Linked DNA regions of Zea mays. The main gene of each other region encodes a partner of the protein of the gene in region 2 in a complex. Links are inferred from orthologs where the notes say so. Each region holds a gene or a part of one and is shown on either strand. Other genes may lie near its edges.

Evidence for each region. The genes of interacting proteins can lie anywhere in the genome.
Region 1: CCR4-NOT transcription complex subunit 6 (region 2) and Carbon catabolite repressor protein 4 homolog 4 share a complex: the UniProt entries of both Arabidopsis thaliana proteins name them as parts of the CCR4-NOT complex. The link is inferred for Zea mays from reciprocal best matches to the Arabidopsis thaliana genes AT3G58580 and AT1G31500.

Annotation. Positions count from the first base shown.
Region 1 is NC_050101.1:154,491,327-154,495,570, forward strand, and holds the start of Carbon catabolite repressor protein 4 homolog 4, read right to left. Parts: upstream 2,801-4,244; 5' UTR 2,710-2,800; intron 2,550-2,709; exon of another isoform or gene 2,521-2,549; coding exon of another isoform or gene 2,143-2,520; exon of another isoform or gene 1,371-2,142; intron 1,262-1,370; exon of another isoform or gene 1,238-1,261; coding exon of another isoform or gene 1,196-1,237; coding exon 1,080-1,195; intron 994-1,079; coding exon 908-993; intron 799-907; coding exon 749-798; intron 589-748; coding exon 539-588; intron 1-538. Other genes in the region: probable metal-nicotianamine transporter YSL16, read right to left, coding at 2,143-2,520. UniProt on the Arabidopsis thaliana protein: Acts as a catalytic component of the CCR4-NOT core complex, which in the nucleus seems to be a general transcription factor, and in the cytoplasm the major mRNA deadenylase involved in mRNA turnover.
Region 2 is NC_050096.1:14,205,079-14,209,201, reverse strand, and holds the start of CCR4-NOT transcription complex subunit 6, read right to left. Parts: upstream 2,801-4,123; 5' UTR 2,691-2,800; intron 2,515-2,690; 5' UTR 2,390-2,514; coding exon 2,199-2,389; intron 1,575-2,198; coding exon 806-1,574; intron 256-805; coding exon 169-255; intron 93-168; coding exon 9-92; intron 1-8. UniProt on the Arabidopsis thaliana protein: Acts as a catalytic component of the CCR4-NOT core complex, which in the nucleus seems to be a general transcription factor, and in the cytoplasm the major mRNA deadenylase involved in mRNA turnover.

The DNA.
Region 1 (4,244 bases), on a different chromosome or scaffold from region 2:
AGGGGCCATGTTGTCAATATCTGTTGTGAAAATTAAATAGTATAACAGTACTCCCTTCGTTCCAAATTGGAAGTCGTTTTGGCTCTCTTAGACACAGATTTTACAATGAATCTAAACATAACTTATGTCTAGGTACATAGCAAAAGATATATATATATATATGCATCTAGAAAAGCCAGAATGACTTACAATCCGGAATCCGAGGGAGTATATTACTACTTTTTAGAAGTCTAAAAGTTGTATTGCTGAGCAAACATGTCATCAAGTTTGATTAGGATCTGCTGGGTAACCCATCATTCATGGAACCAAATTTGTATAATTCAATATCACTTGGTTCCACTTATGAAGCCTAGTTCAAGTAAGTCACATGAAAATAGTTAGATAAGGAAATTCCAAAGATTTCTTACTTTCTCAGACACCATGACTATACAGCATTAGAACCTTAAGTACCATGACTATAAGGAAAGTCCAATAAACAGCGTTTTCGAGAGAGAAAATCCAATACACAACACAAACAACTGATCAATCAAGGGCTTACTTGAGGCACGCAGATGGGGAATGAGGAAAAAGCGTACTCTTAACATAAACCTGCAGCACAGAGCAAACTATTAGGCACCGTTGGCCGCCAATGATCCACACGGATGGTCCCACCGACAGAGATGGCATAATAACATAGAGCCAAAACGGGGAGAGAGTGGCAAAATAGCAAATTTCTCGCTAGAAAGCTAAGAAAAAAAAACAGACACACCTGGGCCAAGATGTTGTAAGAGACCAGCCGGAACTGGTACCGTGCAGCCCCTGGAAGCCAAAACCCAAAACGAATATTAGCATCGACCACACAGAAATTCCACTGTTGCAAGTGTCAGTGATTAGTTTCCTTAAGATTTCAGGGCTGACGAGGACTGACCGCCATCTGTTTGGGATTCAGTTTGCTCCGTAGGGAGAGGGGCAAACCTGGGATGCGCCAGCGTGCTCATCCGCCGCTTGCAGACCCTAATTTTGCGTATCCAGTGAAGCGTTAGAACGAAGAGTGCAAGAGAGGAAACAAGGGACAGGGTTAGGGGTGGGAATGCCCTCACGGGACAAAGGAGAGCGGCCGGTCACCGGCAGGAGATGGACTGGCCGCGGTTCTCGAGCAGCGGCGGATGAGAAGGAGAGGGAGGGAAGCTGTCCACGACGTCTGTGGCTTTAGCATCGGTGGCGCCCTTTGCGGTGAGTTATTTGTGATTATAATCATTTCGTCGCGCGGCTTCGCCTCTTTGGTATCCCGCAGCACGTCATCGCCATATTGGTATTACTGTCGTATACCACTCGCTGGATTGGGTTCGTTTTCATACGGCTGACTAATTTACCCTTCCTTTTCACCCAGTCCGGTCGCAACGACGACGAGCCTCGTCGATCTCCAGCCATGGATGAAGACGTCGCGATAGCGCCTGAGCACGAGGAGCGCGCGCCCGGAGCTCCAGCGTCACCTCGGCCCGTGGCGACATCTCCAGGGCGGCCGTGACCAGGCTGAGTGCCGCCGCCGCCGCATCGTCGGTGTCCTGCGCGGCCGACGGGAGGTTGATGGTAACCGGAGAATGTCCGTGCCCTCTTGTTCAGAGCTCCACAGCACCACCGAAGCAACGAGAGGGGCAAAGCTTGGGGACGATGCGGCGGCGAATCGAGGAACCGTTGGGCAAGTTGAGCGAACCGTGGCTGTGGAAGGAAGCATCATCGTTGATGCCGACGGGTTAGGCGGGCGCGTACCGACGACTGTGCCATGCACTGCGCACGGAGATGCCGTGCTCAGCTTTCTCTTTCAACTTCCAAACGGTGCCGCTGAGTGAAGCTGCTCCACTGCAGCGGAAGAGAGATGAGCGCACTAGGATCTACTGAACAGCGTTGGGGAATTGCAGTAACACTTTGTGCAAGATAAAAGAGTTTTATTAATGCTCTGCTATAATAATAATATGCGTGCTACTAGACAACAGGCAATTCATCCTGTCATCCTTCAGATTTCCGTTTTACATATATACACCGTACATTAAGCTCATATGGACATTAGAACAGGCCTGATTGGTATGTAATTCTACTACACGGATTCCACCCCACAAACGACGAACGATGCCCTCTGTTCTGTACGCATCGTCACCGTGCTCTCTAGCTCCCTGGCGTGAACTTCATGCAGATGGGCGGCTTGACCTTGGCCAGCGCGAGCAGCGACGACGGGAACGTCCAGATCCCGTCGCCGCAGATGAGCCCCGAGGCGACGGCCGGCACCAGCAGCGCGGCCTTCTTGCCGTCGAGCCTGTGCCACGCGAACACCACGAGGCTCCCCACGCACATGTCGACGGCGAAGCTGGCGCCCACGAGGAACGGCACGGCCATGGCCATGGGCAGCGGCACGAGCCGCGCGAGCCGGCGCGGCAGCAGGTCCCGCGCCAGGTTCGCCAGCACCGCGAACGCGAAGAACCCCGCGCACAGCTGCATGCAGTGCCTGGGCAGCGCCGAGAAGCCCTCCACGCCGAGGATGGCCATGTTGCGGTAGATGAGCGCGTAGGTAGATGAACGCGTAGGGGGAAAGGAAGGGTAAATTAGTCAGCAGTATGAAAACGAACCCAATCCAGCGAGTGGTGTACGACAGCAATACCAATCTGGCGATGACGGGCTGCGGGATACCAAAGAGGCGAAGCCGCCCGACGAAATGATTATAATCACAAATAACTCCTTTGCGGTAGGTTCCCGGCTTGTTCCGCCGCCGCCGAGACGACTCCACGAACAGGATGTTAGAATCTGATCTAGTAAGCGGGTCCCACCTGTAGTACGATGTATGTGCACAGTCACTCATCACTCGGATAGAAAATTGGAATTGCGTTGAACACAGTGCGTGCACGAACCTCTTCATTAAAATGCATGGTGTGTTTGGTGGAGAGCGGTAATAAGGTTACAACCCATATAAGGCCTTGTTCGGTTATTCCCAATACATATGGATTAGATGAGATTGAAAAAAAATAAAGAAGAAGAAGTTTGATTTGTTTGGGATTCAAACTCATCCAATCTCACTTAATCCACATGGATTGAGAGCTAACCGAACAAGCCCTAAATGTTCTATATCATAGGTCTGTTTTGGTTCCATTAGTACTACGATTAAAGTTTAGTTTATGGGCTAAAGTTTATTCACAGGAGCATTATTAGATAAAAAAGAGCGATTAAGGCATAACTTGTTTTTTGGTGCAAATACAGGTATTTCTCTAATTACTTCAGGTGTCTCGCAACCTCACTTTTATCGTAGCAATACATATATAAGCAAAGAATATATAAAAATAACATTACACCAAACATAGAAAACAACTGTGTAATGATATTCTACGCGCTGCTATGAGATCGTAGATTCGAAAACCACTTAAAAGTTATGGTTGAAAAGATATGATTTTTCGAAGATTATCTGACTAACTATGAATTATATTCTATGTGGATTAATATAAATTACGTGAGAAAAGATATTACCTTAATCCAAATTATATCTTGGTTGGAAATCATACTTTAGTCAAAGTATATTTATAGTCGACGGTAATAAAGTTGAAAGAACTACGAATTGGGAAAGGTAATTGTCGGGGACCATAATTAGGGGTACCCTCAAGGCTCCTAATTCTCAGCTGGTAACCCCCATCAGCATAAAGCTGCAAAGGCCTGATGGGTGCGATTAAGTCAGGGATCAATCCATACGAGGGACTCGATCACGCCTCGCCCGAGCCTGGCCTCGTACAAGGGCAGCCGACCCCGGAGGATCTCCGTCTCGCCCGAGGCCCCCCTCCAGCGGTGAACGTGTTCCCGGCTCGCCCGAGGCCCTGTCTTCGCCAAGAAGCAACCCTGACCAAATCGCCGCACCGACCGACCAAGTCGCAGGAGCATTTAATGCAAAGGTGGTCTGACACCTTTATCCTGACGCGCGCCCCCCAGAGCCAAAGTGACCGTCGTCACTTCGCCGCTCCCCTGACCGGCCTAGCAGAAAGACAGCGCCGCCTGCGCCGCTCCGACTGCGGTGCCACTTGACAGAGTGAGGCTGACAGGCAGTCAGGCCCGGCCGCAGGCACCATAGGAAACTCCGCTCCGCCCGACCCAGGGCTCGGACTCGGGCTAAGCCCCGAAAAACGGCGAACTCCGCTCCGCCCGACCCAGGGCTCGGACTCGGGCTAAGCCCCGTAAGACGGCGAACTCAAATCCGCCCGACCCAGGGCTCGGACTCGGGCTCGGCCCCAGAA
Region 2 (4,123 bases):
GCACTGACCTCATATTTTTTGACATGCGAAAATCTGTCCCGACGAAAGAAAGTAGCGCAACCATCAATTGCTTGAGGACTTCCGCTGTACACCTGTGACAGCAATATTCCAAATTACGCACTACACCATACCAAGGTTTTACAGCAAGCAGTAAAGAACCAAACAAACCTCTGTCGTCCTTTTCTTATATAGAGGTTGGTACCCATGTTTATCAAGCTCCGGTGAAAAAAAATCTTCAAAGTGATTACTTTGTACCTGCAAATAGTAACATATAGATCACCTTTAGAAGCATAGAAATGGCATGGTTTTTCTTTTATACTGATTCTTACAAAATAAAGACTCCTTCCTCTCTGAGACATTGATCATATGAGAAAGGGAATAATTTCAGGTGTCACTTATGTTTTATGCTTCATGAGTTTAAGGGGGGATGCAGCACAATCAAGAAACAACAATCAAACAATTTAAGGACTCCAGAAGGCAGATAAAAAAGTTATGATAGTACTTCTCATTCAACAGAAAGGTGCTGGGAAACTATCCTGCCTCGGGCAGTCGGGCTAATGAAGAAATCACATTAACATTATTTTTATAACTACAATTTAGTTACTCAGAATTAACAGAAGACCAAAGGATGGTGTCATGAAGCAATGGAGCAATCTCAATGTATCACAGATTGACAGGAACATAACAACATCAATAGTAATTTCTTAAACTCATCATGCTGAACATAATAAGTGCAATTTATTAACAATTAAAGATGCAAATCAGAGCCTTAAACTTCAAACATGAAAAACAATAGCATTCATACCTCCTGAAGGCAGATAATATCAGCATGGTAACCAATAATTTCACGCAACAAATTTTGCCTTCTATAAGCCCATGTAAGTGCCCAAGTTGGACAATAGCTGTATGTATCACTTGTTGCATATGTATCAGCAAGAATATTGTAGGACAGCACAGTAAATGTCCCAAAAGAAGAAGTCCGGCTATCTAAATCGAAGTGGACCATTGCATCAGCTGCATTAACAGGGATCAAGCGGCGTGGTGTCGGGGTCGGTGCTGGGATTACACGGGATGTCATGACTGAAGTAGGAGCTCTCACAGTCCCCCGTGTTTCCACATCCACAACTATACATTCAAATCTTAGCACATGTCCAATATCATCAGTAGTTGCCGTATATGTTCGTGACCATCCCACTTCAAACCAAGTTTCACCAGAACTCTTCTCAGTGCCTGTTGGATACACAGGTGTAGGTCCATTATTAACACCTGAGCTCAGTGAAAGGTTTGATGTTGAACCAGACAACGCAGCACTAATAACCCCTGAGCTCGAACTGCCGCTACCAAATCTGCCAAACAACTCATCATCTTCGGTTCCGTTTTCATTTAAAGCACTTATAGCACGGTCATGCAAAACCTTGTGGTGTTGCCAAGCATCGGAGAAGCACTTAGAAGAACAATGGTAGCTCTTAGCAACAGGTATTTTTGACTTCAGACACCCTATGCACTGAAGTGTTGCTTGTTCTGTTGGGTGTACACTGCAGATAGCAGCTCTACGATCACTTTGTATGCGGTACCTTCAAGAAAGGAAGATCAATATTCAGGATTTCATCGGTATTCTTGCCTTAAAAAAGTTCGAATCTGACACCCTATACCAGTTGTTTTTAACATGTTCAGCATGTATATTCATTTCTAGACAATATTCAAGCATCATATGACACTTTGCTGGTCCCTAATGCACCATGAAAACATAGCAACTAGAAAGTGAACCTTAAGCATCCAACTATTCATATATCTACCAATCAGTATGCACCACTCCGAATGACTATACTGTTCCCATAGATTATGCTGGATCAGAAAACTTGCTACACCAGTCAAAAACTATGAAAAAAAACAACTCGTGATTTGGCAGAAATCATAATTGTCTGACAAGAGCCCAATTAAGTATTCAAACTAGCGATGTAAAAATATTCAGTGTCACAAAAAAAAACACTTCAACAAACCAGAATGTGGTGTGTGCTTAAAATTGCTAATAACTCGGTTATTCTGGAGTCTGGACACAGTATTGAAATGGTGAAACAAATAAATGAAGCAGCTTGCGTCCAAATAGCAACTCGAATGGATGAAACCATGCTTGGTTGACTATAAATTGTCCTGATTGTGACTGACGAAATAAAAGAGGCTCGGAATGGACTGCTCACCACTTGTAGCGCATGAAGTACCCATCCACGGGCGCGGTCTCAGACACGTCGTCGGTGAAGACGCCTCCGTCGGGGCGCCGCAGGAGCACATACGGCGTGATCTCACAGCCGACGATCGGGATCTCCGACGGGAGGTGCACCCGCAGCACGGTCAGCATCCTTCCCCCAGGGGCGGGCTTCACCTGGGTCATGAGGGTTCAGGTGAACCCCCAAAATTATCGAAAACCCAACAACGCCCGCGCCTGAATTAGGGCACCGGAAACTGCTCAGATGTACACAAGTGCCGATCTTGCGCGCTGACGATTGACGAAGGACCCTATCAAACCAAGGCCGGATAGATTGGATTGCGTTAGCTGGGTAATACCACGCAGCACAAAAATGGACGGTTAACTGGATCGGAATGGCGAAAACATCGATTTGGGTTTGATTGAGAACACCACTACCGAATCCTCACTTTGAACGAAAGAACTCATCCGAGCAAAGGTTACTAACCAGCACGGGAAGGAGCCAGTCCCGCTAGATCGATAGAGATGCAGCAGGCGGAGGAGACCGCGGATGAGAAGGGGGCGGTGGCGGCGGAGCTGTGCTCGCGGCGTCGAGGCTTTGGGGGGTTAAAGCTGCTGCGTCCACTTGGTGGTAAGTCTGACTGCAGGTTCGCCGTTCACGTTCACACGATAATAATTTAGAATGCAACATGTTACATTTTAAATGTTAGAATTATCTATATCTAATCTAAACTATTATAAGAACTTAGGTGCCGTTTGGTTCCTAAAATGTAACGTAAATGGTAACGGTAATGGTTTGCATTCGATAATCAGCGGTAACAAATTTAAATAGGCTGATATCAATTTCTAGTGTGGTATCCGATTACGGTTGGACTTAAACAAACATGATTTAACGTTATTTGTTACTCATTACATTACAAATATGTGAACCAAACAATACCTTAATGTGTGACGCTTGGGCCAAGCTGACACTCTAGGTCCGCCCAACACGTCCCGCCTCGACGCCATGCTCTATAGCTTATAGGCCCCACGTCCAGCGCTCGCGCAATGCTCTCTCAGCTATTGCCCTATAGACCCACAACACTCGATCTCGTCCGCGCAACTACCACATCATGCAAAAAATAGTGCAGAACAAGCACTCGAATCCATGATCCTTGCTCCAAAAATTTAAGGCTAATCATCAGACCACACATAACTTAGTGTTTAGAAATAAACAATAATTATATTTGAATAAATATCTCAATACCTATTGTATGATACATAATAAACGTAGCAAAACATGGTCAACCGACTAGTACAATACATAAGGCCTTGTTTAGGCACTCTATTATTTACTCAAATCTACATGTATTGAGATCTATTAAATATAAATTAATTTAATTTACACCCCCTAATCCATCTCAAGGCATGTTCGTTTTTATCCTACTCTATGGATCAAAAGGGATTAGGTAGGTTTAAATCCATAGTAATTAAAAATCTCTTCCAATCTATATCAATCCCCTACAATCCATGTGGATTACAAATAAACGAACAAGCCCTTAATCCATGTGGATTAGCCCTTAATACATGTAGATTAGGTTTAAAACTAGAGTATCTAAACAAAGCCTAAATGAAGATTCGGACCATGATTATTAGCTCTAAACCTACACTCACACTTGCCTAGAAAATAGAACACGTATATTCGTGTATTTTATATTCTATACTTTTACATAAATGGAAACGTAACAAAGTACAAGCACTTTGCTATTCAGTAAAAATCGTATTGCATTCAATTAAAATCCACTGTTAATCAACTTTTTAGTTAAAAAGTTTAAAAGTATAATAGATATTCAGTTTTAGGTACAAAATAAAAGTTATTCTTGAATTTTTTTTCATTAGATATATCAAATTATTTTTAGTTTGAAAAAATATTAAATATGA